7 linked regions of the Sus scrofa genome follow. The protein of the gene in region 1 interacts with the protein of each later gene in a pairwise test. Links are inferred from orthologs where the notes say so. Each region holds a gene or a part of one and is shown in the gene's direction. Other genes may lie near its edges.

Region 1 (4,155 bases):
ATCTGAGTGGCATCTGTGACCTACACCACAGCTCAAGACAACCCAGGATCTGCAACCCACTGACCAAGGCCAGGGATCGAACCTGCGTCCTCATGGGTGCTAGTCAGATTCGGTTCCGCTGAGCCAGGACAGGAACTTCTCACTTAAGTTTTCATATAGATGTACTCTTAAAAAAATTTTTAATGCATTTATTGAAGTTACCTTTATATCACAGACAGCATAAGTGGTAAATCAGTATCACTTGCCATGAAGAATAAAAATCCATATTTTATTGGGCGCAAGTGTTCTTATTTAGTATTCCAGATAACCTAGCAGGTAGGTGCTTTTATTGTTAACATTCTTATAGCGAGGAAACTGAAGCCTGGAGAGGTTAATTAAGCTACAGGCCCACCCGCACAGAGCTAGAGTGGCAGAGCTGGAGTTCGTATCTCTTCCCGAGAGCTTCACGCTCTTTCAGATTGGCGATAACTAAAAAATAAAGACAATGAAAATTCAAGTGGGTAGACAATTCTAACTGGATCCTGCGCTGCCTTAATGTGAGGCCCGCGCCCTGTGAAGTTAAAGGGACAAAGAAGAGCAGGTCGTGGACAGCAGACACGCACAGAAATCGACAAAACTAGGCGGATGGAGGGGACTGCGAGGGGGGTACCGGCCAGATAGGCTTCGCGGTGATCCCTCGCCCGATGCCCAGCTCTATGCCCACGGGCGCCGAGGCACCTGCGGGAAGGGCGGGGAATCGAGACTCCTTCCCCGCCGCGCCCTCTCCGCCCTCTCCCCGCCTCCTTCCCGGGCGTCCTGAGGCTGCCCCCCCACTCGACGGCCGCGACCCCGAAGGCTGAGCCACCCCAGAACCAAGGCCCCCCCGCGACGGCGGAAGCGCCCGCGGGCCTCTCACAAGGAAAATTAGTCGAGAGCCGCCCCCGGCCGGGCCGAGGCCCTTAGGGCTTCCCGGAAGCTCGGTGAGCGGGTGGCACCACGGTGCCCCAGAGCCGCCGCGGAGCCCAGGCTTCCCCACCTCGTAGGGAGAGCGGCAGAGGCTACGCGACGACCCAGGTGAGCGCGGCGGCAGGTCGGCGGTGGTGAGGGATGCCCACTGATCCCTGGTGCGGGGACGGGCTGGGCCTCGAACCTGGGGCTCTGATTCTCTGCGGCTCCTACCACGAGTTTGGGAGCGCCGAGCGCTGCGGTCATTGGCCCCGTCGCAAAGACCGCTGTGGTCGCCGCGCTGAGGCTGCGCAGCTGGGCGACAGCTAGCGTGGGCGGGGTGGGGTGGGGAGCGGCCCCTCCGCTGTCCCCGCCGCTCGAGGAGGCCGGGGGCCGCCGGGACTTTTATTCTGACACGGCCGGCGCCCGGCTCTGCTTAGTCATGGTGACCTGCGCGCGTTCCGCACCTCCCCCCTGCACGCTGCGATGGAGGCGCCTGGGCCTGGGCGACGGAGGCGGAGCCCGAGAGCGGCCATGGCGGGGTGAGTGAGGCGGCCTGCGCCCGGGCGGCGGGTACCGTGGGCCGTGAGTGCCCTGCGGCCGTGCCTGGGGGCCGGAGAACTGCGCGTTGCGGGCCGGTCGCCTCGGGGTTCCCGCGGCTCCGCGGAGGCCAGAAGGGTGCGGTTCGAGTCGGAGCCTTTTGTTGGACGGCGCAACTCGCGGGGTGGCCCGAGAGCGACGCAAACCGAGCCAAGGGCCCAGGGAGCGCCGCTCCGACCAAGGCCGGGGGATTCCGGGACGTTGGGGGGCTTGGTCTTCGCCCTGGGGCTGGCAGTGGAGAGGCGGCGGCGGGGTCACTTCCTCCCTTTTCCAGGCCTTGGCAGCTCAGGCAGGACATGCGCAGTCTCCCACTTACCGCTTCATGGGGGTGGCGGGGGAGTGCCCAGGGCCCAGGGGGCACCGTTGGCCGATTGGCCCATGACCAAGAGGCCGGCCTGGGCCTCAGCTGGGGAGAGGCGGCCATGGCCCGGTGGAGGAGGGTGATCTGGCAGGCACACTGGAGTGGGCAGTCAGCCAGCCATAGCTCATTGACCCCTGCACGGTGCCAGATCCCAGGCAGAGAGGCACAGGAGAGGATGGGCACAGCCCTGACCTACACAGGGCTACCTGTCCTCAGAAACCTGGGGGCTCAGGGCCAGACGGATGGGCCATCCTTCAAGGAGGAAGCAAAGGAGCTCATTTCAATTCTTGACAAGTGCTGTGATGGAAATAAAGCAGGGAGGAGGTGACTGAGTTGAGCCCAGGGAAAGATGAGTTAGAGAAACTTGGGGAGCCTCTTGCAGATTCCCTCCTCCCTGAAGGACTTTTCAAAACACAGCTCCTGCCCTGGCTGTCGAGTCTCCACAGGTTTCTTGGAAACCCTTCAATAGTCATTATGCTCATTATACTCCTTACCGATTTTTCAGATTGCCTGTCATTCTGCCTCTGAGCCTTTGCACTTGCTCTCTCTCTGCCTAGAAAACTCTCATCCCACCCCCACCTCCTTCATATGTTCACCCCTCTTGTCTCAGCACCAACAGAGGCCTGGAATACCTGAGTTAAAGTAACTGCCCTCAAGTCACACTATCACAATGTGCTGTCATTTCCTTCAAAGCCTCAATTTTTGCTCAAGTCTTGCTTATTTTACTTATGGCTCCTCCATTCCCAAGTGTCAGCTCTAAGGGAGCACAGTGTATGTCAGTCTTACTCACTGCTGTGTCCCTGGTGTCTAGAACTGTGCCTGGTAGTGGTCCACAGTAGATGCTCAATAAATGTTGGTGAGGTGAATGAAGGAAGGAGATGGATATGCCCTAGGAAGGGAAGGACCATCAGATAACTGGAACAGAATGAGCAAAGGGGACAGGTGGACAGGAGCTGATTGTGAAGGGCTTTGCCAGCCATTGAAGAGTTTGGTTTTACTCTGTGCCACAGGGCTTGGCGGGGGGCAGTGTGGGGGGGATTCTGGCAGGGGAGGGACATCATCTGACCTATGATATAAGGTGGACCCTTGGGCTGGTGAGGCCATTGGGCAGTTAGCACAGATGGACACTGCTTCACCTGGGCTTGGGAAGGAAAACTGGTCTAGGAGTTGCTTTATTTTAGAAAAGGCTTGGCCCCAGGCCCTGCCCGCAGCCCTGTGCTCTCCCTCCTCCAGGCCTCTGAGTGCCAGTGGTGGTGTTGTCCCTTGTCATCTGGAACCCCATGCAACCGGAACCCAGGCCTAGTGGGGCTGGGGCACACACCCAATTTCTGCCCCTGAGGTCACAGCGCCCCGAAGGGGCAGGGGACACGGTGATGTACGCCTCCACGGAGTGCAAGGCTGAGGTGACCCCCTCGCAGCACGGCAACCGCACCTTTAGCTACACGCTGGAGGACCACACCAAGCAAGCCTTTGGCATCATGAATGAACTGCGGCTCAGCCAACAGCTATGCGATGTTACGCTGCAGGTCAAGTACGAGGATGCACCAGCTGCCCAGTTCATGGCCCACAAGGTGGTGCTGGCTTCATCCAGCCCTGTCTTCAAGGCTATGTTCACCAACGGGCTGCGGGAGCAGGGCATGGAGGTAGTGTCCATTGAGGGGATCCACCCTAAGGTCATGGAGCGCCTCATCGAGTTCGCTTACACGGCCTCCATCTCCATGGGTGAGAAGTGTGTGCTCCATGTCATGAATGGTGCTGTCATGTACCAGATTGACAGTGTGGTCCGTGCCTGCAGCGACTTCCTGGTGCAGCAGCTGGACCCCAGCAATGCCATTGGCATTGCCAACTTCGCCGAGCAGATTGGCTGTGCCGAGCTACACCAGCGTGCCCGAGAGTACATCTACATGCACTTTGGGGAGGTGAGTGAGGGCAATTGACATGGATCCAGGGCTTGGGAGCAGTGTCTGAAGAACCAAGGACAGATGGGAGCTCATTTCTTTTTGAGATGTGAAAGGTCAAGGCAAGGAGCTGGAGAAAAATGGGGTTCTGAATTCTTATTCTACACATCTTGGGCAACTCTGGGGAACAGCTCAAGAAAGTGAGGCCTTCATAGGTCCCTGGGCTCCTGGTTTCTCTGGGGTCAAAGGTGGGGACAGGGTGCAGTGAGTACGTTGGCATTTCCACACTGGGGTGCACTGAGTAGGGCCCGACATTTCAGGCCGTCAGCAAATATTTATTGAACACCCATGATGTGCTGTAGACCGCAAGTG
Region 2 (4,097 bases), on another chromosome or scaffold:
GAATAGGCAGAGTTCTAAGGGCGTCCTCAAAATTTGTGGCCTCCAGGGAGCCTATCCTATAGAATCCCTCCACTTTAGTGTGGCCAGAGTAGTGATTATTAGGAGTTATCACTTTGAGGATTAAGTTCATCAAAGAGGAAATTATCTGACTGGGTCTGACCTAATCACTTGAGCCTTTAAAAGGGACCTCCCAGAAGTCAGAGACTGGAAGCCTGAGATTTATGGAAGGGCTACCTGGCAAAAGCACAAGACTGGCCTCTGCCAACAGCTGGCAAGCCAGTGAGGACATCAGTCCAAGAACAAGGATATTAAGTCTACCAAGAACCAAGGGCCTCAGAAGAGGACCCCTGATTTTAGGTAAGATCCCACTTGCAGACAAATACCCTTATTTCAAACTTGTGAAGACTACAGTAGAGAACTCACCTATGCCACGCCATGCTCCTGACTGAAGGACTGATAATAAATGGGTGTTGTTTTAAGCCACTCATTTGTGGTAATTTATTATGCAGCAATAGAAAACTAATACACTCAGGCATTTTTTCATACAATTAAATAACATTATGTAAGGTGGTTAAGTTTTTCAGATTTCATTTTACATTTTTTCTACCCACTTTAAGAATAAACTTGTTTCAAAACAACTGACATGCACATTAGTTGCGCGCTATCTCTTTAGTACTTCTCATCCTAACAATAAAATTCAAAATTCACGGAAAAGTTCTTCAGTGTTGAAAGGCCTTTTTGGTGAAGTGACCTTACTCCTGACCAGTCGCCGAAGGATGGCGGGGTGCAGAGTGCAAGCTGGACCATCAGAGACAGCCTCAGGCTGCCCCCAGACTGAGCCTAGCAGAGGGTCGGGGTGAGGAGTAGACGTGAGCTTTGCCCAGAACAGACAAGGGAAAGAAGAATGGACGCAGTTCATCCCTTTAATCCCTAAACCAATTTCTCAGGAAAAGCCGCGCGCCCACAAGTAATCAGGGTCTCTAATAAAACTGTGGTGCGCACGCAGTAGCTTTAGAAACTCCCAAAGCATCTGAGGAGTTCCGCCCGCCCACTAAGAATCACTGGGGCTACTTAAGGTACAGCTAGCAGACAGATCGGAGCATTTTCAAAATATCTTTCAAACTCAGGAGTTGTGCTCCTTACCCCTTCTGCCTGAAGACTCAAGGCGCGGCCACTAAAACCGCGATATACCGTCTTTGCCGCAAGCCCCCAGCTAGCCAACCAACTACCGCAGGAGTTCCACAAGGAACCCACCGCGACGCAACGACTCAACAGCGTGAGCACGTCCACCCACTGCGCAGGCGCGAAGAGCGGCTACGCGAGGAAGGAGAAAACAAGCCAGACCCCGTGGTGTAAGGGCGGGGCCTAAAGGCTCGTTGCGCCTGCGCGAAAGAGTCGACGGCGTCCTGCGTCGTTACTTTTGAAACCGGTGGCGGGGAACTACTCTGGAAGTCACTGGTGTGGCTGGTTGCCGCGTGAAAGCGCGTCTCTTCATCCGTGGGCCTGGCCATGGCGCTGCAGCTCTCCCGGGAGCAAGGCATTACCCTGCGCGGGAGCGCCGAAATCGTGGCGGAGTTCTTCTGTAAGTCCTTCTCGCGCAGGCCGGAGAGCGGGGAGAACTGTGCCCAGGCCGCCAAGTAGGCCCGCGGCTCGGTACGGTGGCGGGGAGAACCCATTGGGTCAGAGCGGACGCGAATCCGAGCCCTCTCAGTCTCAGCGTACTGCCAGGCAGGAGGGATCTGGAAGAGGCGGATGCAGGCGCCTCTTCCGGATGCGTTGCTAATGGTGGAGGAGGCGGCCTAGGTTCTGCTGAGGCCTGCCTGGCGATATAACCGCTTAGCCGGGAGCAAACCCCATACCCACCCCGAGGTGAATCAGGATTGACGGTAATGGGCTAGACTTGGGGAGGCGTTCTTCTGGACCAGGCCAGTTGCACCTTCTGATAGAACCTGGCAGGACTTGTGAGAAGAAAAGGAGGAAAAAAAGGAGAGGATTGCCTGGGCGTTGGACGACTCAGTTGCTTCTTTTGACATCCTCTAACCATAAAGTCTGAATTTAGAATTGTTTTACAATGAAATGAAATTTGGCACTGGTAGATAAATGCAGTTTGCCATGTTTCTTTTATTGCCACTTAAATGCAGATACCACTTTTTTGTTTAGAAGCAAAATTTTAAAGCTTTTTAATTTCACTTTGTACCTTTGAGCAAAACACAAACGCGTGTTTAAACATTTACAGCTTTACACCATTAATGAAACCATAGCCACATGACTAAATATGTTTTATTTCTCAGAATTACAAAATGAAAATGACTTTTAACATTTCTTTTGTTTTCAGCGTTTGGCATCAACAGCATTTTATATCAGCGTGGCATATATCCATCTGAAACCTTTACTCGAGTACAGAAATACGGACTTACCTTGCTTGTAACTACTGATCCTGAGCTCATAAAATACCTAAATAATGTGGTGGAACAACTAAAAGGTATTTCATTGTTGGAAACAGTTTTGAGTTTTGCCAGCATTCTAGGATCCATTTTCTAGCAGCTTGCTGGTCATTTTTCATCTGTATACCTGGTGGTGTAAAACACACTACCATCTCAAATATAGTGAAATAACTGGGAGGAAGAAAATAAATCAAAAAGAAGTCCCATCTTTACCCCATTTTGAGTGGGCTGAATATTTTCATGTTAGGAACGCGATACGGCTTAATGAAACAATTCCCATCAACTCCTTTAGAAATGAGTGTTGCAGTTTATGTGACCAAATGGAACATGTTGGAATTTTACATAATTATATTGGTGTTCATTATCTGAGAAAAATCCACTATATATATATTTGTAGCTGCATGGAGTCTAAAGCCATCATTAAGATGAAGGAAGCAAAACTGAATTCAACCTGGGGACTAAACTTTAAAAAGAACAACTACCAAATAACAGAGCACCATTAGAATTTTCTTACTTTTCACCTGTTTCCATTGTCTTGTCTTAAATCCTACATGTGAGTCTGAATACTTATTTTTTCCTTTTAGCTCAAGAAGTGTCAGTATTGTTTAATTAATACTTGTTCTCCATCTATTCCTCTTCTTTCTTCTAAAATTTCTAGTTTCTCTTTCATGTTTGTCTCCACCTAGGGTTCTCATTTCTAATTTTTCTGTGTTGTAGGATATTTTTCCATATCCACACATTGATCTTCCAAAGTTCTAAAAAACACTACAGCCCTCATCTTTATTTATTTTTTTTTTAAGTTTTTACTGAGGTATAGTTGATTTACAATGTTGTAATAATTTCTGCTGTACAACACAGTGATTCAGTTATACATGTATACACATGCATTCTTCTTCAGATTTCTTTCCCATGTAGCCCATCACAGACTGTTTGGTGGAGTTCCCTGTACTATACAGCAGGTCCCTATTGGGCAAGCATTCCATATACCTCAGTGTGCATATGCCAATCCCAAATCAATCCCCCACCCCATCCCTCTTCCCCCACTTCTCCCCTTTGGTTACCATAAGTTTTTCAAAGTCTCTGTTCTGCAAATAACTTCATTTGTATTTTTTTTTTTTTTTTAAGATTCCACATTAAGTGCTATCATGTTTGTCTTTCACTAACTTCACTTAGTATGATAATCTCTAGGTCCATCCATGTTGCTGCAAATGGCATTATTTCATTCTTTTTTATGGCTGAGTAATATTCCATTGTATATATGTACCACATCTTCTTTATCCATTCCTCTGTCAGTGGACATTTATGTTGCTTCCATGTTTTTAATTTTAAATGAATCTTTTTTGTTTCAAGCAGCTTGATTTTTTTAACTCAATGAATTTTATTACATTTATAGTTGTACAACAATCATCACAACCCAATTTTACAGCATTTCCATCCCAAACCCCCAGCCCATCCCCCAACCCCCAACGTGTCTTCTTGGAAACCGTAAGTTTTTGAAAGTCTGAGTCAGTATCTCTTCCGCAAAGAAGTTCACTGTATCCTTTTTTTAGATTCCCCATATAAGTGATAGCATATGACATTGGTGTCTCACTGTCTTACAAACTTCACCTAGTATGATAGTTTCTAGGTCCATCCATGTTGCTGCAAATGCCA
Region 3 (4,004 bases), on another chromosome or scaffold:
TATCTGGAGTGTAGGGGTGGGCTTGGTGGCGGTGTGTGGGCAGGCCTGCTGGAGGGGGAGCACGGTCGCTGTTGTGATTTTAGGTTTGTTTTTGTTTTGTTTTTGAATTTGGGGGGTTGCGGATTGATGGGGGTAGGGAGATTTTTTTTTTTTTTTTAAGCTGCTTCCTCAACTGTTTCAAGCTGCAAATGTTTAAGAGGATAACATCCCACCCCCACCCCCACCCCCACCCCCACAGAAACCACTGTAATGAAATCAGACAGTGGGGAGACTGGGCTGCTGACCCCAAAGCCATTGGATGTTCCTTTTCCAAGAGCAAAAGGTCTAGGCTCCAGGGATGGGGAGATTTGGCTCCAGTGAGTCAGGCCCTGGTTGGGGCTTGGGCCCTGGGATTGGGAAAAGGGGATGGGGCAGACTTTGTAAGCGTATGCTAGGTATCCGATAGTCCTGTAGAATTTAGTGAAGAAACCTTATACAGTTTTTAATTTTTATATAAACTAACTCAGACCCAAGCTACAAGGTTGGAATTTTGGTTGTTGGTTTTTTTTTTTTTTTTTAAGTACCCCGCCTGTATAATTGCATCAGAATTCCCTCCCCCACCCCCACCCCCGTGTTTGTATTTTGGGTTGGTTTACACTTGCACATATTCAATTTTCAGTTTTTCCCCTTTACGGTCTTCTCCCCTCACCTCCAGGACCCTCCCCCTTTTTAAAAAATAAATCTCTGACAAGTGTGAATCCCGTGAAGACTTTATTTTGTGTTGTGTGTATCCTGTACAGCAAGGTTGGTCCTTCGTAACAACGGATGAAATGATTCCCTTTTTTAAAGCGCCCTCTCTCCCTCCACCCCCAGCGCCCCTGTCCTTGGCATGTTTTGTATCAGCGATCATTCTGAACTGTACATAATTTATGTTGCAAGAGGCAAAGGGCAAGTTTTGGATTTTGCTTCTTCCAAGTTTGTTTTTAAACGACAAATAAAAAAAAGAACATTTTAAATACAAGCGGCTCCGTCCCGTCACCCTCGCCGTCGGTGGGATCAGCGAGGTCCCAGTGTGGACCGGGGGAGGGCGGTTTCTGAGGCTAAGCAACGCCGGAAGGGTAAGCTCCCCGCCTTCCGCTCTTGACTTGCGTGTGTCCCGACGTAAGCGGAAGTGGCCTTGCGGTACCGGACGTGGGGCGGGGCCTTCTCCGCCCCCCGCCCCGGGCGAGCTTCCTAAAACGAACGAACTCAGCCGGCGTCTCGCAATGGAGACGGTGAGGAGCGCGGGAGGGCGGTGGGGGGGCGCTGTGGAGCCTAAGACCCCAGTAAGGGGACAGGGAAGCCGGCGCTGGTGCCCAGGAAAAGAGAAGCCCCGCGTCTGTCCTATTCCATGACCCTGCTGCTCCGCTTCTTCTCCTCTCCTAGGACTGGGCCGCGTCAGTGCCTGCCTTCCGTCCGCGGTACTGTTAGCCTGAGCGGGCAGTGACTCCCGGCTCCCTCCTTGGAACCCACACGCACCCTGGCGATCTCAGGTCTCCTTTCCTTTTAGCACCACAAGCCCTTGAGAGGTTTGCCTGAGAGAGAAGGGTTGTGATCCAGCTTTGCTGGGTGAGGCAGGAGGTTCAGAGGGTCCCTCGCTTGCAGGTAGCACCTGGTGCCCAGTTGTCTGAGTGAGATTCGTGGAATCCTTGGCAGGAGGGACGTCTGAAAGCCTTTTATACCGCCTTGAGGTGTCCAGCGACGTCACATCCCTTGATAAGACTGAAAAGTGGGGTTTCCCTGAAGGAGGGAATCTTTTCAGTGTTAGAGGCCACTGTGTCCCTGGAATAGTTTAGGTCATGCCCTGCTCTGCGATTCTAAGCAGATGTGTTGTCATAGCTCCTTCTTGGCAAGCAGGCATTAACGGATTGTGGCAGGCCCGTGTCATCCTCCCAGAGTTGCTGCAGGTTGCCTTCGACCTATTTGGACCCACCCTCACTCTCAGGACCCTTGGTCTAGCACTCTGGATGGAGCCTTTTCCATTCCCTTACCTCTCCGACAGTGCTTAACCATGTCTCTTCTGTCAGGCAGATATGCCCATCTTGGTTTGGATCATCTGCTACTGTAGTTGTGTGAGGGCTGCAGGTTCACTTTTCTTTGGATCAGTTACATGCCCAGGCTAATTTCCTTACTGTAACCCTTTTCTCCACCTGCAGAGGGGTCATGTCCCTTAGGTTATACAGAGGAAACAAAACCAAAGTGGTAAATTACGATTTGCAACTGGCCACTCAGGCAAGGGAGTTACAAATTAAGAGCATTTTGAGCAAGAATAAAAGATCTGATTCCACTAAATTTCAAATAACATTATTTTTTACTCGGAAATGTATTATGGTTTACAGAGCATTCTTGTATGGATTTTCTAATTTAGCCCTCATACTTTAGGTTCTTAGAATAGAAATTGTTTTAAGAAGAAGGAGAAAGAAAACCCCTGCTTTGAAAATGCTCAGCTTAACTGGAGTGGGAGTGAGGGCAAGCAGTGACAGCTGTTATTTCAGGTAGACTGTAATCAGTGCCATCATCAAGATGCAAACAAGGGGACTGTGGAAGCATAGGGAAGGGAGAAATTACTGTGAACCCAGGAGAGGGCATTGCAGGTTGAGAGAACAGTGTGAGCAAGGGCATAGAAACTGGGGTATGTAGAGATTAATTGGGGGTGAGCCAGTGGTTTGGTGTTGCTGGAGTTTTGGATTTTGGTCACAGTTGGAGAAAAGACTAAAAGTAGGCTGAGGTCAGGTTGAAGGTATTGCATACCATGTTAAGTTTGAATTTTGTTTTTGTTTTTATTTTGGCCACCCTGCAGCATTTGGAGTTCCTGGGCCAGGGATCAGATCTGAGCCACAGACCTGACTTAAACCACAGATGCAGCAATGCCAGACCTTAACTCACTGTAGGGGGCTGGGGATTGAACCTTCTTCCCGGTGCTTCCAAGATGCCACTGATCCCATTGTGCCACATCGGGAACTCCTGACTTTTGTTTTGTAACAAGGGGACCCACGGAAGGTTTATGAGCAAGGTAGTGAGTATGCTTTAGGCATGTCCCTAATGGCTTTCTGTAAATGGATGGGGCTACTTCAGAAAGTAGTGAGTTCTTAGTTGGTGGAGATGAGAGTCCCTTGCAAATCTGAGGTACTTGGGGAGAGAACTGGGTGCCAGCATGGAAGACAAATTAAGAGGAAATAGATTTAGGGCAAGGAGACCAGTTTAGAGAATGCTATAGAAATGGCATGTACGAGGCTAAGCTTAGGAGTTCCCTTGTGGCACAAGCAGGTTAAGGATCTGACATTGTCACTGCAGTGGCTCAGGTCACTGCTGTGGCACAGGTTTGATCCCTGGCCTGGGAACTTTCACATGTTTTGAAAGTGGCGGGGGGAAAAAAAGTGGGGGGGGGGCTAAGTTAAAGCTGTGAAAGTAGAAAGGAGAGAGATGGATTTGAGACATTTCTAACATAGCAGCTTACCTCATAGATGTTAAGGACAAGTTTAAGTTGACCCTGGTCTGTCATTCTAAGCAGACATGTTGGAATAGCTGTTTCTCGGAGGAATCAACCCTCCTGTTCTAGGCACTGGGGAAGACAGCGATGCAAAAGCAAAGGTGGGAACCACAGTAAAAATAATAGGATTGGAGGGACAGATGCTGTTCTGTTTGGTATTGAAGCACTTGAGGAGTCTCTGTGACATCTGTGATGGCCCAGCAAACAACTGGAAATGTGGATGAGAAGTTTGGCAGAAATTGTGAATCTGTGTTTCAGCCTTAGGGTATGTCTTTGTAATCATATTTTATGTTTATGCAGTGTAGTAGTCTTAAGTTCCTTCTGTTATTAAATGTAGAAAAAGTGGATGTAATTATCCAAATCCTGGGTGAAGAAACAGGCAGAAAGATGGAGTCATATTCAATTGCATTAGACTCTATTATGTAGCATCTGTGTCTCTGTTTAGCTATGTCTCTTTTTCTTTCTCTCTATATAACTTAGGTCTCTGTTCGTATCA
Region 4 (4,195 bases), about 63 Mb from region 1:
CCAGGCCTTTCCTGGGGCAAGAAAGCTGGAAAGACAGGTAGATGGAGATTCTGGAAAAATCAAAAGAGTACCAGCTTGATGTGGGCATCTTCCCCAGTGGAAGACAGAGCCTGAGGGAGAACAGATTCCGAGGGAAGGGACCTGGCCCAATCCACGCAGCTGGTTGGAGCCACAGAGACCACACCTGGGGCTGTTGAGAGGACAGGGGATGCGTGCTGGTGGTGAGAAGAGGACGTGATCAGATTTTTGATTCCAGAGCATCCTGCTGCTGCAGAGGGGGAACCCAGATGGGATGCTGGGGGGATGTGGAGACACTGCAACTCTCTCTCACACACACGCGCACACACATCCGGAGCAGTAGGAACTCAATTCTTCCTAGATTTCATCTCACTTTCTTGGGAACTAGATAGGGGAAGAACTCAGACATGTTGGTGGAGGGGGGCCAGACAGCCCTGGCCTTGGCTCAGCTCTGCTCCTTTCCAACTCTTGAAGCCTCAGTCTTCTTAACTGTTAAATGGACTAACATTCCCTGCATCACCAGATGGTTGTGAATGTATGGAGAGTACCCGTAACATGGTATGTACTTTTTTTTTTTTTTTTGCTTTTTAGGGCTACACCTGCAGCATATGAAAGGTCCCAGGCCAGGAGTTGAATTGGAGCTGCAGCTGCTGGCCTACACCACAGCCACAACAACACAGGATTCAAGCTGCATCTGAGACCTACACCATGGCTCATGGCAACGCCAGATCCTTAACCCACTGACCGAGGCCAGGAATCAAACCCGCATCTTTGTGGATACTAGTCGGGTTTGTAACCCACTGAGCCATGATGGGAACTGCCTGTATGTACTGAATGTTACTTTCTCACCTATCCCTCTTCATTCTCATGGGAAAGAGCCAAGGCTGGGGATGGTCATGACTCCAGGGAGTGGACCATGTGATACTGTGTGTGTGTGTGTGTGTGTGTGTGTGTGTTGGGGCACGTGGGGGGATACTGTGTCGTTAGGTCTAAGTAGGTCTAGACCCCACTTTAGGAACACCCGAGGACTTCCTAGGGACCCTTAGGGAAGTCAGTACAACCATTACCCTCACTTTCCCCATATGTACAATAGGTAATGAGATCCTCCAAGTCAAGCCGCTAGCACAGTACTTCAGGAAGTGCTCGTATTAGCTGTGATGATTAAAAATGCAGCTTGGGGAGTTCCCATCATGGCACAGCGGAAACGAATCTGGCTAGGAATCATGAGGTTGCTGGTTCGATCCCTGGCCTCGCTCAGTGGGTTAAGGATCCGGCGTTGCCCAGAGGTCACAGATGCAGCTCAGATCTGGTGTTGCTGTGGCTCTGGCATAGGCCAGGAGCTGTAGCATGTATTCCACCCCTAGCCCCCTAGCCTGGGAATTTCCATATGACATGGGTGTGGCCCTAAAAAGCAAAAAAAAAGCAGCTTGGTTGGGGGTGCTCCATGGAGTACTGGAATCTTTCCTTGGCCTAAGCTGCCCCCTGGTGGCAATGAGCAGCACTACCTCCTTTATCCAAGTCAGGGAAGGCTTTACACCCATTTTAAAGACAGTGAAAATTGAGGCACAGAAAAGAGGGGGGTGCTATTTTCTGAGTTCCTCCCTATAGTGATAATTACCATCAAAATCACCAGTTAGCAGCACGGTTGTGCTCAGCAGGGCCTTGAACACCTTTTGTGAATGAGAACCAGCACCAGTGGTGGGCGGCTGCTAACTCTGGGCATAGACACAAGTGTGGCAAAGCCCGGCAAGGAAGGTCTGTGGATTTCAGGTGTCCTCTCTCCTCCAGTCCTCTCTGCACAACACTAGGGGGCAGCACTACCCTGTCAGTACCTTACTCAAGCCTTCAACATCCCTCCAGTAAAGACAATTTTCAGCTCGGTGTTTTGGCTGAGGAAGTCAAGACTCAGAGAGGTAAAGTGACCTTTCCAAGGACACTCAGCCAGTAGGCAGTGGAAGCCTGATTCCACCTTAGATGGCCTGGCTTTGCCCCTTTCTCTGACCTGGGACCCTCACAGTATTCTGCACTGGGCCCAGGCTGGTCACTAGGCACTTCCGCAAACCTTTCCCCACTCAGGCCAGCCTCCTGGGAGTCTGTCCAGACATGCAAGAGCGGATTTCAGGATGGACTCTACCCTGAGCAAACTTTCCCAGTCACAGGCGCCTTTCTCACCCATCGGGAACCCGGCAAGCACCGGCAAACTCCTAAGCCCCTTGCCGCTTTCTACTGAGGAAACTGCGGCTCGATGATATTTAGCTGCTGCCCCTCCAGGCTGGTGGCAAGCGGCGCAGGGAAGCACTCGGGGGCGTTTCTCCGCATCTCCGCACAGTGGGACCAACTCGGCCCTGGCAGGAGCCCGCGGAAGGCAATACAGTCTCGGAAGAGTCTCCATCCCCGGCCCTTGAATCCACTGAGGAAGGGGCATCACTCCCAAGGGGCAGGTTCCTACAAACAAAACAGAGGTTGGAGGACGCAGAAAACCCCCCAAGAGAGCGGGGATCAGGACTCTCTGTGGGGAAATCCCCGGTGCCCTGTCCGTGCCAGCCACGCCGCCCGGCCTGGACTCGGGGCACCTGGTCAGCCCAGTCTGTCGTAACTAGGCCACCACCCGGCCGGCCACGGGAGACTCCTGACCCCCGCGCGAGCGCCCCCGGCGGACGAGAGGCCAAGGCCGCAGGGCCATGCCGCGCAGGGCCCCGTAGCGCCTGGGGGCGGGAAGCCGGCGTGCCGGCGGAGGTCCCCTCGGCGCGCCTATTGGCTGGAGTCGACGCCCATCCGAGCCCCGAGGCCCGGCAATTGGCGGGTGGGGGCGGAGTTCGCGGAGCCCAATGAATGGGGGAGCCGGAAGCAGGAAGTGAGTTTGCGATCCGAGCAGCTGCGGCAGGTGAGGCGCGGTGCCCGGGTTTCGGGGTCACAGCGTGCCATTCTCGGGAGACAGGGCGAGTCTGGACCGGGCGCAAGATCACTCCCTTTCTGCCTCTCATCCGGTACCCCTTTCAGATTCATCGCGGCCACGAGGCCAAGGAACGCTCCGGGCAGCAAAGGGTTAACACCCCTTTCAGAACCCAGGGAGTCGTGCTATTCCGGAGCCGCAGCGGGGTTGGCGAGTGAGGTTAGAAACTCATTCTCAGTAAGGGAGGGCGTTGTGGAGCATATCCTGAGTTGGGAGACAGCTAGGTCCCAACGGGGCAGTGAGACCTTCAGTAAGTTGCTTGGCTTCTCTAAGCCTCACTCTCCCTATCTGTAAAATGAGTTTTCTCCCAGCTCTGAACTTGTGTGGCTCCGGTATCTCCCCTGGCTGAGCACAGAGAGAGGGCAGGAGGACGGAGGGCCAAAGAAAAGGCAGAGAGGTGAAAGTGGAACCGATCCTGGGCTCGGAGAGAGGAAGGGAACAAGGAAAATCATTACTGCTGTAGATAAGTTCCATGCGATCTGGTGTGACCTCATCTAATTGGCACACCCATCTTGCGAGCCTGGGGTTTTTATCGACCTCATTTTAAGGAGTCAGTAATCCAGGCACAAAAAAAGTGGAACAGTGGACTTGATATTGGGAGTCTGGGGCTGAGCCAGGATTGGAACCTGGGTTTTCCTGCAGGGAGTCTGTCCTTGTGAACACAGCCGTGGGCAGAGTTGAAACACTTGCAGGAGAATGAAGGAGGAGGGGAGGTGAAGAGAGGCCTGGGCTGGAGTAGAGACACAGATCTCTGCTTCTGACCTCTGCCTCCTAGTCCCTCTGGACCTCAGTTTCCCCATCTGTAACACTAGGTAGTTGGATTCCATCTTTAAGATGGAGAGGCCACCGGCCAAATGTTGCCTCCCAGTATATTTTGTAATCTCCTTGGGTGGGTCACTAATCGTCTCTGGGCCTCAGTTAGCATTTCTGGTGCATGGGTACCATGGTGTTCCCTTCCTCCTGGACTTTGGGGAGGATTAAATGAGGCTGTGAGAGCACAGAGCCAGGTGTGCAGTTGGCATGTGCTAAGTGACGACTGTGAACGTGGTGATGGTTCTCAGCAGGGCCCATGGCGGACACCCAGTACATCCTCCCCAATGACATCGGCGTGTCTAGCCTGGACTGCCGCGAGGCCTTCCGCCTGCTGTCGCCCACAGAGCGCCTCTATGCCCACCACCTGTCACGGGCCGCCTGGTACGGAGGCCTGGCTGTCCTGCTGCAGAC
Region 5 (4,159 bases), on another chromosome or scaffold:
TGTGGGGTTGGGGACTCTATGGCAATGAGGGAAGAGACCCTCGCTCCCTGTCCCACCTCAGCCTCACAACCAGCCACATGGAGACCGCGAAGCGCTGGGGCTCCCCTGTGCCCCCCATGCACATACGCTGGTCACCCCTCTTGACACACCTACACTCCACGATGGGGTGAGAACCCTGGGACTCCGCATAACTAGCTCTGCCTGGCATCTGCTGCCCCACTTCCTGTGCCCTGAACTTGTAATCGCTGCCTGGGGCCCCCAAACTCCCAACCTGCCTCTGAGCTCTAATCACCTCCACACGCCTATAAAGGTGGCGTCGGACCCAGACCCTTCAACCCTGCTTCGATCCCCTAAACCTGGCCCCTGGCCCCCAGTCGCGGGCGTGACGCCGAGGGACCCGAAGCTTCCACAACGTGGGGACATTCTTTAACAAGTGAAAAGTTTACTTTTCTGGACTTCCCAGAACCGCGGGCACGGGCCTCCATCCCCGGTCCGCACGCTCCGCGCCTGACTGGGGCGAGGGGCCGCCCGCGGCCTGCGCAGCCGCGCTCTCCGAGCCGGGGTCGGGGGCCCGGGGCGGGAGGGCGGGGGACGGGGCCCCCGGAAAGCGCGAGACTTTCGCGAGAGTTCCAAGCCACGCAGGCGCACTGCGGCCGGCGCGGGCGCGCGCGCCGCGGCCGCGGAGGACGGGGCGCGCGGGCGGGTCTCCGCGCGGGCCTGCGCGCGTCCGGGGAGAGGCGGGAGGCGGCCAGGGCGCAGGCGCGGGCGCGCGGCCGCGGCGGCGGTTGGGGAGGGTTCTTCCGGAAGGTTCGGGAGGCTTCTGGAAAAGGCGCCGCGCGCTGGGCGGGCCCGCCTCTATATAAGGCAGGCGCGGGGGCGGCGCGCCAGTTGCTTCTGCGTCCTGGTGCTGCGTCGCCGCGGAGCCCGTGCCGTCCTTCAGCCAAGGTGAGGGGGCGGTTGGGGGGCTTCGGGGGCGCCTGGGGGCCGGCGGGCGGGCCCCGAGTCCAGCCCCGGGGCGGCGGGGTGGCGGGGCCGGTGCGTCCGGGCGTCTCGCAGGCCGCGGGCCTGCCGCGGCCTCCCCTCCCCCCGCCGGCAGCGGGCGGGCCTGGGCCGCGGCGGGGCCGGGGCCGTGCGGAGGCGCGGGCCGGGATCCCTGGGCCCCCGAGGGAGGCGAGCCCCCGGCCCGGCGGGCGGGCGGGGGCGGCGGCGGCCGGCCGGGGGCCCCAGCAGCTCGGGCCGCCGTGCACACGCTCGGGGCCTGGGCCCGGAATGAGGTCATCCCTTTGTCAGCCGGCGGCCCCGGATCCCGCGGGGACGGCGGCGGCGGGCGCGCTGGAGCCGGCTCGGTGTCCCTTCCAGATGCCCGAGGAAACCCAGACCCAAGACCAGCCGATGGAGGAGGAGGAGGTGGAGACGTTCGCCTTCCAGGCGGAAATCGCCCAGTTGATGTCGTTGATCATCAACACTTTCTACTCGAACAAGGAGATCTTTCTGAGGGAGCTCATTTCCAACTCGTCCGATGTAAGTTGCCTTCGGGATTGGGCTTTGGTGTCGGTGTGAAATGCACCATTTTGGGGTTTCGGGCGTAATCATTTGCGGGTTTTGATAGGCTTTGGACAAGATCAGATACGAAAGCCTGACGGATCCCAGTAAACTAGACTCCGGAAAAGAGCTGCACATTAATCTCATTCCGAACAAGCAAGACCGGACCCTCACGATAGTGGACACCGGCATCGGAATGACCAAGGCCGACTTGATCAATAACCTTGGTACGATCGCCAAGTCTGGGACCAAGGCGTTCATGGAGGCTTTGCAGGCCGGTGCCGATATCTCCATGATTGGCCAGTTCGGTGTCGGCTTCTACTCTGCGTACCTGGTCGCTGAGAAAGTGACCGTTATCACCAAACACAACGATGACGAGCAGTATGCCTGGGAGTCTTCTGCAGGAGGATCTTTCACCGTTAGGACAGACACAGGTAGGCGTCGGTGGAGGGTGGGGTGCTGTAGACACTGGACCCCAGGAGATACTGTGCAATTTGTGTTAAAGATTAGAAAAAAAAACCGTTTTTGTTTCCCTGAACTGAGATAGCCTGACGTCGTGGTTATTTATCTCGGGCCTGGCCCTTAATTGCTCAGGGACTATTTTCTTCTGTAGTAATCTTGCTCGGGACAGTTCAGTGTTATCTGTGGCTTTGAGAGCCGAATGGGGGCTGCTTTAGTTTTGATTAGGGTCTTAAGATTGAAATTGAGTTTGTGTCTTGCCTTTTCAGGAGAACCTATGGGTCGTGGAACAAAGGTTATTCTACATCTGAAAGAAGACCAAACTGAGTACTTGGAAGAAAGGAGAATAAAGGAGATTGTGAAGAAACACTCTCAGTTTATTGGCTACCCCATTACTCTCTTCGTGAGTATTTGTGCATTTTCTTTGTAGACAGCCAAGTAAGTGAATTGAAATCCTTGCTTTTTAGGAAGAGATCCAAACTTGAGTATTGACTCAAGACTAGTGAAGCGCTCTCTCTTACTGTGTTGGGGTATCTAGGGTTATTTATGTGGCTTTATGAGGAATTGACCAGAAGCTTCCTGGCTCCTGAATGTTTCTCAGTTGGGTGACGAGGTTTTGGTGTCCATGCTGTAGTTCCTTTTAGCTTACTAGTTTTTTAATTTTGGGGGGGAAAAAGGTGATGATTTTGTGTTTCTTTTTAAGGTGGAGAAGGAACGTGATAAAGAAGTCAGTGACGACGAGGCGGAAGAAAAGGAAGACAAAGAGGAAGAAAAGGAGAAAGAAGAGAAGGAATCTGAGGATAAACCAGAGATAGAAGATGTTGGTTCTGATGAAGAGGAAGAAGAAAAGAAGGATGGTGACAAGAAGAAGAAGAAGAAGATCAAGGAGAAGTATATTGATCAAGAGGAACTCAACAAGACAAAGCCTATCTGGACCAGAAACCCCGATGACATCACTAATGAAGAGTACGGGGAGTTCTATAAGAGCTTGACCAATGACTGGGAGGATCACTTGGCTGTGAAGGTGGGTGATTGCTGAAGCTGGCGTCAGCAGGTTGTCTGCCCCAAATGGGTAAACGTGAGGGTACTTTCTGGCAGCTTTCTCTCCCTACCCCAGCCCGGCGTCCCCCCAAGTGCTTTGTGTGACCGCAGATGTGTAGCTGTCAGGTAGCCTCACTTGTCAGCAGGAGTTGCTTGTGGTATGTGTTGCTCACGGCTGTGTTTTATTGCAGCACTTTTCAGTCGAAGGGCAGTTGGAGTTCAGAGCCCTTCTTTTCGTCCCAAGACGCGCTCCTTTCGACTTATTTGAAAACAGAAAGAAGAAGAACAACATCAAGCTGTATGTTCGCAGAGTGTTCATCATGGACAACTGCGAGGAGCTCATCCCTGAGTATCTGAGTAAGTAGAGTTGAGCCTAAGAAACGACGGCTGTCAAATTCATCCTGTCAACCCCGTGCCACGCGCGCAAGTTCCTGGGCCAGGGGTCACACCCACGCCACAGCAGAGACCCGAGCTACTTCAGTGCGTTGCCAGATCGTTAACCCACTGTGCCACCAGAGACGGAATTCCAGACTTGGAAATGCATGGGGAAAACTGCGTTCTCTTTGGGTTTAGCTGTTTGTTGATTTTTGTCGGAGTGATTTTGAGTGCATTTGGCATGCTTTTCCAGATTTCATTAGAGGCGTGGTGGACTCTGAGGATCTTCCTCTGAACATTTCTCGTGAGATGTTGCAACAAAGCAAAATTTTGAAAGTCATCAGGAAGAATCTGGTCAAGAAATGCTTGGAGCTCTTTACTGAATTGGCCGAAGATAAAGAGAATTACAAGAAGTTCTATGAGCAGTTCTCTAAAAATATTAAGGTAGGTAATCGTGTGACAACAGCTGTAACCAAACTACTTCTCCTTTTCAATGAATTTGTTTTTAAGGCCAAGTTTTGTTGAAGCTACCATTGTTTGTTTCAGCTTGGAATACATGAAGATTCTCAAAATCGGAAGAAGCTTTCCGAGCTGTTGAGGTACTACACTTCTGCTTCTGGCGACGAGATGGTTTCCCTCAAGGACTATTGCACCAGAATGAAGGAGAACCAGAAACACATCTATTACATCACAGGTAAGGCGAGATGGGTGTAATCGTCATGCCTCTTGCTCTGGGATTCCA
Region 6 (4,204 bases), about 3.0 Mb from region 1:
GGGTTAAGGATCTGGCGTTGCTGTGGCTGTGGTGCAGGCCAGCAGCTGCAGCTCTGATTTGACTCCTAGCCTGGGAATTTCCATATGCTAGAGGTGTGGCCCTAAAAAGCCAAAAAAAAAAAAAAAAAAAAAAAAAAAAAGTGACTCCTTCAATGGGATACTCTTTGATATATTTTAATTTTGACTGGTTTGAGTGCTGAGGACCACAGCTCCAAAGCGCACTCCAAACACTGCAAATTATCCTGTTTATTTTAATCATAATAATCTCCCTGGTGCACCATATTCTCTCAAGAGCTTTAAATGTATATTCACAGCCGCTAACCACCAAGCAGAATATCTCCCTAAAACATCAGAAAAGGAACAAGAGAATGACCAACTTAAAGATGGTGAACCTGAAGCCAGTCAGGACCTGTGAATATCACAGAGGTTAAGCAAAAATATAAAAACCTATGAACACCATGCAAAGGAACAACAAAAACTACAATAACCTCAAACACAGCAGTGGGTAATGGCTCTCACACCTGAAGTGTTTTTTTATTTGTTGGTTTGGTTGGGCCACCCTCGCCCCCATGTGGAAGTTTCTGGGCCAGAGATCAAACAGGCGCCACAGCAACAACCCTAGCTGCTGCAGAGACAAATCCTTAACCCACTGAGCCACAAGGGAACTCCTCAAGCCTTTTTTTTAAATTTTATTTCTTTTTTTTTTTATCTTTCCAAGCCTTAAGTTTTGATTACACCTCTCAGTCAAGCTGAGAGTCCAATCAAAAGAGGGGCACTGTTTAAAAAAAAAAAACCACAGGCCCAAAACGGAGTCACTTGGACTAGGGCCAAGCCACCAAAGCAGGGCCTAATACCTAACTTAATTGAAGCTTCAACCTCCTCCAAAAAAATGTAGTTTTAAGAGTTCACTCAGTATTTTTCTGATCAGCACCAAACGCATTAGTCTGTTACAGAGTGCCTCTCCCGTCTCCATCCCCCAAAAAGAAGACGAGGTAACCATCACCTAATAAGACCCTTTTTTCCCCAAAAAGGAAGTGACTTAATCTAAAATAATCCTTTTTTCTTATGACTTCCTTGCCCTGCCTTCAAAAAACTTTCCATTTCCGTAGCCCTTAAGAGCCCCTTCCCCCCCTTGCTAGATGGGATACTGCCCAATCCATGAATCGTTTGATAAAGCCAATTAGAAACTTAAAATTTACAGCTGTTTTTCGTTTTTTTAACACCATGACAACTAGGATCCTCACCTCAGCACTTTGTTAGGCCTCCGTGGGTCCGACATACTGTTAGCGGACATAGCGAGTCAGAAGTCGCGCCTCTTCCGCTGCGGGTGTCGCAGCTTCTGGCAGCTTCCGATGTGGAAACGGAGGAAGGCTTTTGGAGTAACGCCCTCAGCCCTCGTGCTTCCGTTCCTAACGGCGGGGGCCGGAACTCTCCCAGCTAGGGGAAAGAATTGGAAGCCAAAAGTATTCCTAGAAAACAGGAAATGGGAAAAGAAAGTGAAAACTGGAAACAGGCTTCAGTATTCCCAATATTATCTCCAAAAAGCTGAAACTATTGAATCCGGAAGTGATAAATAGGAAGTAGACCATAGAGGACAATAATAAGGTTACACCCAGAGCAAGGAAAGCTTCGGTGGCGAGGAAGGGAGCCGAGTGCGATGGCTTTCCCTGAGCCAAAGCCACGTGGCCCGGAGCTGCCACAGAAACGGTTGAAGACATTGGACTGCGGGCAGGGGGCTGTGCGAGCCGTGCGATTTAATGGTGAGCGCCCTTATCTCATTCCGGGTCCTCCTCCCTCCTCCTGAGATCGGAGACCCAGTAACCCCTGCCTGGTGTTCCCCAGTGGATGGCAATTACTGTCTGACTTGCGGCAGTGACAAGACCCTGAAACTGTGGAACCCGCTGCGGGGGACGCTACTGCGGACATACAGCGGCCACGGCTATGAGGTGCTGGACGCGGCCGGGTGAGCTGAGGGCCAGGCCAGAATATGGGCGCTGAGGCTGTGATCAGAGGTCGACGTTAACCTTCCCTCCTCTGCCCTCTAGCTCCTTTGACAACAGCAGTCTCTGTTCTGGCGGCGGGGACAAGGCCGTGGTGCTGTGGGATGTGGCATCAGGGCAGGTCGTGCGAAAATTTCGGGGCCATGCTGGGGTGAGTGCAAGCAAGAAGGTGGCCTAATTGGAGAGGATGGTCATTTGCATGAAGGTGGTGACAGGGACCACCATTTGCTCAGTTACAGCACAAGGATCCTCCCCTTCCCCAAGGGTCGTCTTACCAAGCCCTGTCCTTGTAGTTCCCCACAAACCTTTCACCTCCCCTACCCCTAGCTTTTTCCCTTGCCTTTATCCCCATCCTCCAAAGTCCAGCTTCTCTAAATAGCAGTTCCATTTCACAGAAGGTGAACACAGTGCAGTTTAATGAAGAGGCCACAGTTATCCTGTCTGGTGAGTGCGGGGCCTAGGCAGGTGGGCCCAGGGTGCTGCTTCTGTCCCCCAAACCTGATCCACCTTCATGCTGACCACACAGGCTCTATCGATTCCAGTGTGCGCTGCTGGGACTGCCGCTCTCGGAAACCTGAGCCAGTACAGACGCTGGATGAAGCCAGGGATGGCATATCCAGTGTGAAGGTGTCGGACCATGAAGTCCTGGCAGGGTGAGTGGGGCCAGGACCTTGCCCCTCCCCAGGTGCCAGGAGGGATCGTAGCTGCTTCTGTCCGAAAATTAAAATCTGCTCTCCTCGCTTTGCTTACAAGGCCCTCTATGGTCTAGTCCCTGTTGTACTCTGAGCTTTTATTCATTCCTGGCCTCATTTCTGTTAAATATGCCACACATGCTCCCACCCCAGGACCTCCTTTTGCAATTGCTCTTCCCTCTGCCTGGACCGCCCCTCTGCTACTCATTCAGAGTATATCTGAACACCTCCTGCAGGTCACTTTTTTAGTCAGTGAGCATACAGCAATGAACAAGATAGGGAAATAAGGAAAAACACCTGCCCACATAAAGTCGACATTCTAGCTACAGGAGGCAAACAACTGAAAAAAAAAAAAAAAAAAACCACGCAGAGCTGCCTAAGCATTGCCACAGCCTGAGTGTCATTTCACACCTTGAGTGGTGGGGGAGCATTTGGACTGCACAGCCTGTGGGCTGGCCCACTTCCCACACATCTCCACTTGGACTGCAAACGGTTGGCTCCTTCTCATCCCCAAGTCCCAATTCAGATGCTACCTCCTCAGGGCGGGGATTACCCTCAGTCATCAAGGCTCTATGTTGGCAGCAAGTGCCTCTGGCTTGGCAGCACCTGTGTCCCCAAGCCCCCACATGGGGTCTGGCCCTGAGAGGGAGCTTGGTACAAATCCAAAACAGATGGAACGGGACCTGGTTGGCCCCTAGGTCCGAGTCTCAAAGCCAGTGCCTCAGGGAGCTCCCGCTGTGACACAATGGGATTGGCAGCATCTTGGGAGCCACTGGGACACAGGCCCAGCATGGTGAGTTAGGGATCAGGCATTGCTGCAGCTGTGGCTTAGGTCAAGACTGTGGCTCCAACCTGATCCCTGGCCCAAAAGCTCCATATGCTTTGGGCCAGCCAAAAATGACAAAAAAAAAAAAAGCCAGTGAAGTTCCTGTTGTGGCGCAGTGGTTAACAAATCCGACTAGGAACCATGAGGTTGCAGGTTCGAACCCTGGCCTTGCTCAGTGGGTTAAGGATCCCACGTTGCTGTGAGCTGTGGTGTAGGTTGCAGACGCGGCTTGGATCCCGAGTTGCCGTGGCTCTGGCGTAGGCCGGCGCTACAGCTCCAATTTGACCCCTAGCCTGGGAACCTCCATATGCCATGGGAGCGGCCCAAGAAATGGCAAAAAGACAAAAAAAAAAAAAAAAAAGCCAGTGCCTCAGAATTCCACTCATGAATTCACTTCAGTGCATGCAGTGCATGTTTTCCATGGCCAGTCCTGAGCATGACATGACATAAAGGGTACCCAGGAAGGGCAGGCACCCAGCCTTGCCCTCAGGGCCCTGGCAAGGTGAGGGGGTACAGGGATACCAAGGCTGGAGCCATGGACCTACTAGGCCCTGCAATGCTGCAGGTGGATCCACTCTTTGTTACAGCTCCGTAGATGGCCGGGTGAGGCGCTATGACCTGAGGATGGGACAACTCTTCTCGGACTACGTGGGCAGTGAGTATGGCTGGAGCTGCGGGGCAGACAG
Region 7 (3,500 bases), on another chromosome or scaffold:
GCATGAGGGGATACCGTGGGGCTGGCCTTGGCAGGGGTGGGGTGCTCAGTGAGGATCATCTGACTGCCCGAGGCTCTCCTGGGATTGAGGCGGCTTGCTAGGATCAGCTGAGAGTGGGCATTCTGGCAGGGATGGATCTTGAGGTGAGCCTGGGCTTTAAGAGTTGTGGGTGTTGAGGCATCCTCTTGCCTCAGCCAGGGAAGGGGGAATGGCTCTAGGACAGGCTGGAGATGGCCTTTCGTTGTCATTGGTTGCATCAGGTGGTTGCAAATGCAGGGATTTTCCTTTCCAGCCCACCCCACCCCTTTATGCAAATGAAATGGCACCACAGGCTGATGCAAGCCTGGCCACTGCGAAGCAATTCTGCGTGACAGTTCCCCCTGGCTTGCTGTGGCCGGCTTCCTACAACCCAAGTTTCAAGGGATTCCCATTCCCAAAATGAGACGTGTCTCCTGCTTCCCCCTTTCTTCTTAAGTAGTGGTGAGATGGTCCTGCCTTTTGGCCTGGCTGTGTCTCTGGTCCAGATCCTGAGCCCACAGACCTGTACGGTGGGGATGGGATGTCATGCTCGTGGGTTTTGCTAGCACTTTCTTTTTGGAGGCTTGTGTCTGGAAATGGATGAATGAAGCCTTGCTGGTACAGAGGGGGCAGAGGTAGAGGCTGGCAGGTGTGTAGCCAGGGAGGGGCCCTACCCTGGAGTAATCGGAGTGGTGCTGGGGGGGGGAACCTCTGAGGGGCAGGACTGGGAGGGGCCCCTGGACCGCACAGCTAAAGTCACAGTGCTCTGTCTTTCAGGATATAGATCTGATTGACATCCTTTGGCGACAGGATATTGACCTGGGGGCTGGGCGTGAGATTTTTGACTACAGTCATCGCCAGAAAGAGCAGGATGTGGATAAGGAACTGCAAGATGGAGCAGAGCAGGAGGACACCTGGCCAGGCGAGGGTGCAGAAGCTCTGGCACAAAACCTGCTAGTGGATGGAGAGACTGGGGAGAGCTTCCCTGCACAGGTACTTCTGCCTCTGCCCACTTCCGGAAACGTCTCTTTAGAAAAGGCAGCTTGGGTCTGTGGGGTGGGCCTGAACGTATGTCTTGGGTTGGGGTCTTGGAGTCCGAGTGAAGGGCTGAGGAAGCGGGAGTGGAAGAGCAGTGGCAGCAGAGGGGCCACGCCTTGGGGAGGAACAGCACACGGGAGGCAGAGCACCTGGCAGCTTTCTGTGTGTGTCAGGACTCTCCCACTCTCTTCTCTCCTGGAGTCTGGGACTCAAGGCCAGCCGAGCCTGGGAATGGAGGGACAGTGTCGGCCTGCAACCAGCCACACGGGGCCTCCTTCAGGCTTCCCTTGGAAAGACTGGGGAAGGGCTTTGGCCCACAGGCAGCCAAGGCCCAGGGCAGTCAGACTTACAGTTGCTGTTGCCACAGGTGCCTGGTGGGGAGGACCAGACAGCCCTGTCCCTGGAAGAGTGCCTTAGGCTGCTGGAGGCCACCTGCCCCTTTGGGGAGAATGCAGAGGTGAGCAGGACTGCAGGGAGAGCCCACTGAGCCAGCAGGGCAGCCTGCACACGGTGTGTTTCTCTGAGGCTGCCTGAGGGGCCAGCTCTTGGTGCTGGCCTTGTCCTGGCTGCTGGGGGTGAATTCTGAGGAAGGAAGAAACAGAACCTCAGGTGGTCGTTTCTGGGAGGAAAGCAGAAGGTGGTCTTCCTCCTCCCCTGTTAAATCCTCTGTGTTTTGCCCTAGTTTCCCACAGACATTTCCAGCATAACAGAAGCAGTGCCTAGTGAGAGTGAGCCCCCAGGTCTTCAAAACAACCTTTTGTCTCCTCTCCTGACGGGGACAGAGTCTCCATTTGATTTGGAACAGCAGTGGCAAGATCTGATGTCCATCATGGAAATGCAGGTAGGCTGATCAGAACCCGGTACAGACCTATCGGATTGTGTGGGGGGCGTCCCCGTGCTCGCTGCTCTTCTACTTCTGGGAAAAGAAAGTCAGAACACTGAGCAGTGACTGTCCAGGCGTCTCCTTGGGGCAGTAGGGGGTGCAGTAGAATTGGGGTTTGGGTTAAAGCCCTAGGGCTGAACCTCCTAAAGCAGGTCTCCATCCTTTTCTTCAGGCAGATAATGTCTTGACTGGGTGTTTCCAAGATGTAGTGTTAATAAAAGCGGACATTCCTGCAGTGTCGCACAGCTGTTGTCTGCTCACTTGGCCCCCATGGCCTTTTAGTCAGCCCTTTGTTATTTCAAAGGGAGGACACTGGAGCTCAGAGAAAGGCCCAGTGAAATGCTGCTGGTCACACAGCAAGTGGCACAGCCAGCCTTTCTCACTCCAAGGCTGGGTGTTCTTTGCGCATCGCTGATTGTGCGGTGGAGGGTAGTCATTGTTAGGTGTTGGGGCGATCTGGCCAAACGAGACCTGGAGCTGATCAGTCCTGCGTTGGGGTGAAGTCCACAGGGAGGAGCCCATCTCTGCCGGGCCTGCTGGATCAAGCGGGGCCAGGAGTTGACACTGTGGGTTCGGGTTTCCAGGCTCGTGCCTTTACATTCATGCAGCTGCGCCTGTGCAGGGCGCCTGCTAAGGGAGCCCCCAGCCACACCTGGGGAGGGCGTCGGCGCTGAGCCGGCAGTCACGCTCGTCTCCCCTCCCAGGCCATGGAAGTGAACACGTCAACGAGCGAAATCCTGTACAACGCCCCTCCTGGAGACCCGCTGAGCACCAACTACAGCCTTGCCCCCAACACTCCCATCAACCAGAATGTCAGCCTGCATCAGGCGTCCCTGGGGGGCTGCAGCCAGGACTTCTCCCTCTTCAGCCCCGAGGTGGAGAGCCTGCCTGTGGCCAGCAGCTCCACGCTGCTCCCGCTGGTCCCCAGCAACTCCACCAGCCTCAACTCCACCTTCGGCTCCACCAACCTAGCGGGGCTCTTCTTTCCACCCCAGCTCAACGGCACGGCCAACGACACCGCGGGCCCCGAGCTGCCTGACCCCCTGGGGGGTCTCTTAGATGAAGCCATGCTGGACGAGATCAGCCTGATGGACCTGGCCATCGAAGAAGGCTTCAACCCCGTGCAGGCCTCCCAGCTCGAAGAGGAGTTCGACTCCGACTCAGGCCTCTCCTTGGACTCCAGCCACAGCCCCTCCTCCCTGAGCAGCTCGGAAGGCAGTTCTTCCTCGTCCTCGTCCTCGTCGTCCTCGTCCTCGTCCTCCTCCTCGTCGGCTTCTTCCTCCGCCTCTTCCTCCTTTTCCGAGGAAGGCGCCGTGGGCTACAGCTCTGACTCTGAGACCCTGGATCTGGAAGAGGCCGAGGGCGCCGTGGGCTACCAGCCCGAGTATTCCAAGTTCTGCCGCATGAGCTACCAGGACCCGTCCCAGCTCTCGTGCCTGCCCTACCTGGAGCACGTGGGCCACAACCACACGTACAACATGGCGCCCAGCGCCCTGGACGCCGCCGACCTGCCGCCGCCCGGCGCCCTCAAGAAGGGCAGCAAGGAGAAGCAGGCCGACTT

What was found.
Region 2: the proteins of KEAP1 (region 1) and MAD2L1 interact in binary tests that used the Homo sapiens proteins (3 or more experiments, as listed by UniProt). The two-hybrid records come from large-scale screens. The link is inferred for Sus scrofa from reciprocal best matches to the Homo sapiens genes KEAP1 and MAD2L1.
Region 3: the proteins of KEAP1 (region 1) and PRKAG1 interact in binary tests that used the Homo sapiens proteins (3 or more experiments, as listed by UniProt). The two-hybrid records come from large-scale screens. The link is inferred for Sus scrofa from reciprocal best matches to the Homo sapiens genes KEAP1 and PRKAG1.
Region 4: the proteins of KEAP1 (region 1) and DPP3 interact in binary tests that used the Homo sapiens proteins (3 or more experiments, as listed by UniProt). The two-hybrid records come from large-scale screens. The link is inferred for Sus scrofa from reciprocal best matches to the Homo sapiens genes KEAP1 and DPP3.
Region 5: the proteins of KEAP1 (region 1) and HSP90AA1 interact in a two-hybrid assay, tested with the Homo sapiens proteins (2 studies listed by BioGRID). The link is inferred for Sus scrofa from reciprocal best matches to the Homo sapiens genes KEAP1 and HSP90AA1.
Region 6: the proteins of KEAP1 (region 1) and WDR83 interact in binary tests that used the Homo sapiens proteins (3 or more experiments, as listed by UniProt). The two-hybrid records come from large-scale screens. The link is inferred for Sus scrofa from reciprocal best matches to the Homo sapiens genes KEAP1 and WDR83.
Region 7: the proteins of KEAP1 (region 1) and NFE2L1 interact in binary tests that used the Homo sapiens proteins (3 or more experiments, as listed by UniProt). The link is inferred for Sus scrofa from reciprocal best matches to the Homo sapiens genes KEAP1 and NFE2L1.

The regions. Positions count from the first base shown.
Region 1 is NC_010444.4:69,286,710-69,290,864, reverse strand, and holds the start of KEAP1 (kelch-like ECH-associated protein 1), read left to right. Parts: upstream 1-1,355; 5' UTR 1,356-1,466; intron 1,467-1,472; exon of another isoform or gene 1,473-1,602; intron 1,603-3,118; 5' UTR 3,119-3,165; coding exon 3,166-3,804; intron 3,805-4,155. UniProt on the Homo sapiens protein: Substrate-specific adapter of a BCR (BTB-CUL3-RBX1) E3 ubiquitin ligase complex that regulates the response to oxidative stress by targeting NFE2L2/NRF2 for ubiquitination.
Region 2 is NC_010450.4:103,926,061-103,930,157, forward strand, and holds the start of MAD2L1 (mitotic spindle assembly checkpoint protein MAD2A), read left to right. Parts: upstream 1-1,297; 5' UTR 1,298-1,509; coding exon 1,510-1,582; intron 1,583-2,335; coding exon 2,336-2,482; intron 2,483-4,097. UniProt on the Homo sapiens protein: Component of the spindle-assembly checkpoint that prevents the onset of anaphase until all chromosomes are properly aligned at the metaphase plate.
Region 3 is NC_010447.5:15,046,820-15,050,823, reverse strand, and holds the start of PRKAG1 (5'-AMP-activated protein kinase subunit gamma-1), read left to right. Parts: upstream 1-1,204; 5' UTR 1,205-1,244; coding exon 1,245-1,253; intron 1,254-1,324; exon of another isoform or gene 1,325-1,511; intron 1,512-4,004. UniProt on the Homo sapiens protein: AMP/ATP-binding subunit of AMP-activated protein kinase (AMPK), an energy sensor protein kinase that plays a key role in regulating cellular energy metabolism.
Region 4 is NC_010444.4:5,945,220-5,949,414, reverse strand, and holds the start of DPP3 (dipeptidyl peptidase 3), read left to right. Parts: upstream 1-1,395; 5' UTR 1,396-2,850; coding exon 2,851-2,902; exon of another isoform or gene 2,903-3,130; intron 3,131-3,201; exon of another isoform or gene 3,202-3,221; intron 3,222-4,032; coding exon 4,033-4,195. UniProt on the Homo sapiens protein: Cleaves and degrades bioactive peptides, including angiotensin, Leu-enkephalin and Met-enkephalin. Also cleaves Arg-Arg-beta-naphthylamide (in vitro).
Region 5 is NW_018084979.1:919,178-923,336, reverse strand, and holds the start of HSP90AA1 (heat shock protein HSP 90-alpha), read left to right. Parts: upstream 1-1,359; coding exon 1,360-1,521; intron 1,522-1,609; coding exon 1,610-1,976; intron 1,977-2,270; coding exon 2,271-2,404; intron 2,405-2,704; coding exon 2,705-3,025; intron 3,026-3,233; coding exon 3,234-3,399; intron 3,400-3,670; coding exon 3,671-3,861; intron 3,862-3,963; coding exon 3,964-4,111; intron 4,112-4,159. UniProt on the Homo sapiens protein: Molecular chaperone that promotes the maturation, structural maintenance and proper regulation of specific target proteins involved for instance in cell cycle control and signal transduction.
Region 6 is NC_010444.4:66,310,040-66,314,243, reverse strand, and holds the start of WDR83 (WD repeat domain-containing protein 83), read left to right. Parts: upstream 1-1,404; 5' UTR 1,405-1,657; coding exon 1,658-1,760; intron 1,761-1,842; coding exon 1,843-1,963; intron 1,964-2,045; coding exon 2,046-2,151; intron 2,152-2,395; coding exon 2,396-2,444; intron 2,445-2,526; coding exon 2,527-2,653; intron 2,654-4,105; coding exon 4,106-4,173; intron 4,174-4,204. UniProt on the Homo sapiens protein: Molecular scaffold protein for various multimeric protein complexes. Acts as a module in the assembly of a multicomponent scaffold for the ERK pathway, linking ERK responses to specific agonists.
Region 7 is NC_010454.4:24,309,881-24,313,380, forward strand, and holds part of NFE2L1 (nuclear factor erythroid 2-related factor 1), read left to right. Parts: intron 1-795; coding exon 796-1,011; intron 1,012-1,423; coding exon 1,424-1,513; intron 1,514-1,738; coding exon 1,739-1,897; intron 1,898-2,643; coding exon 2,644-3,500.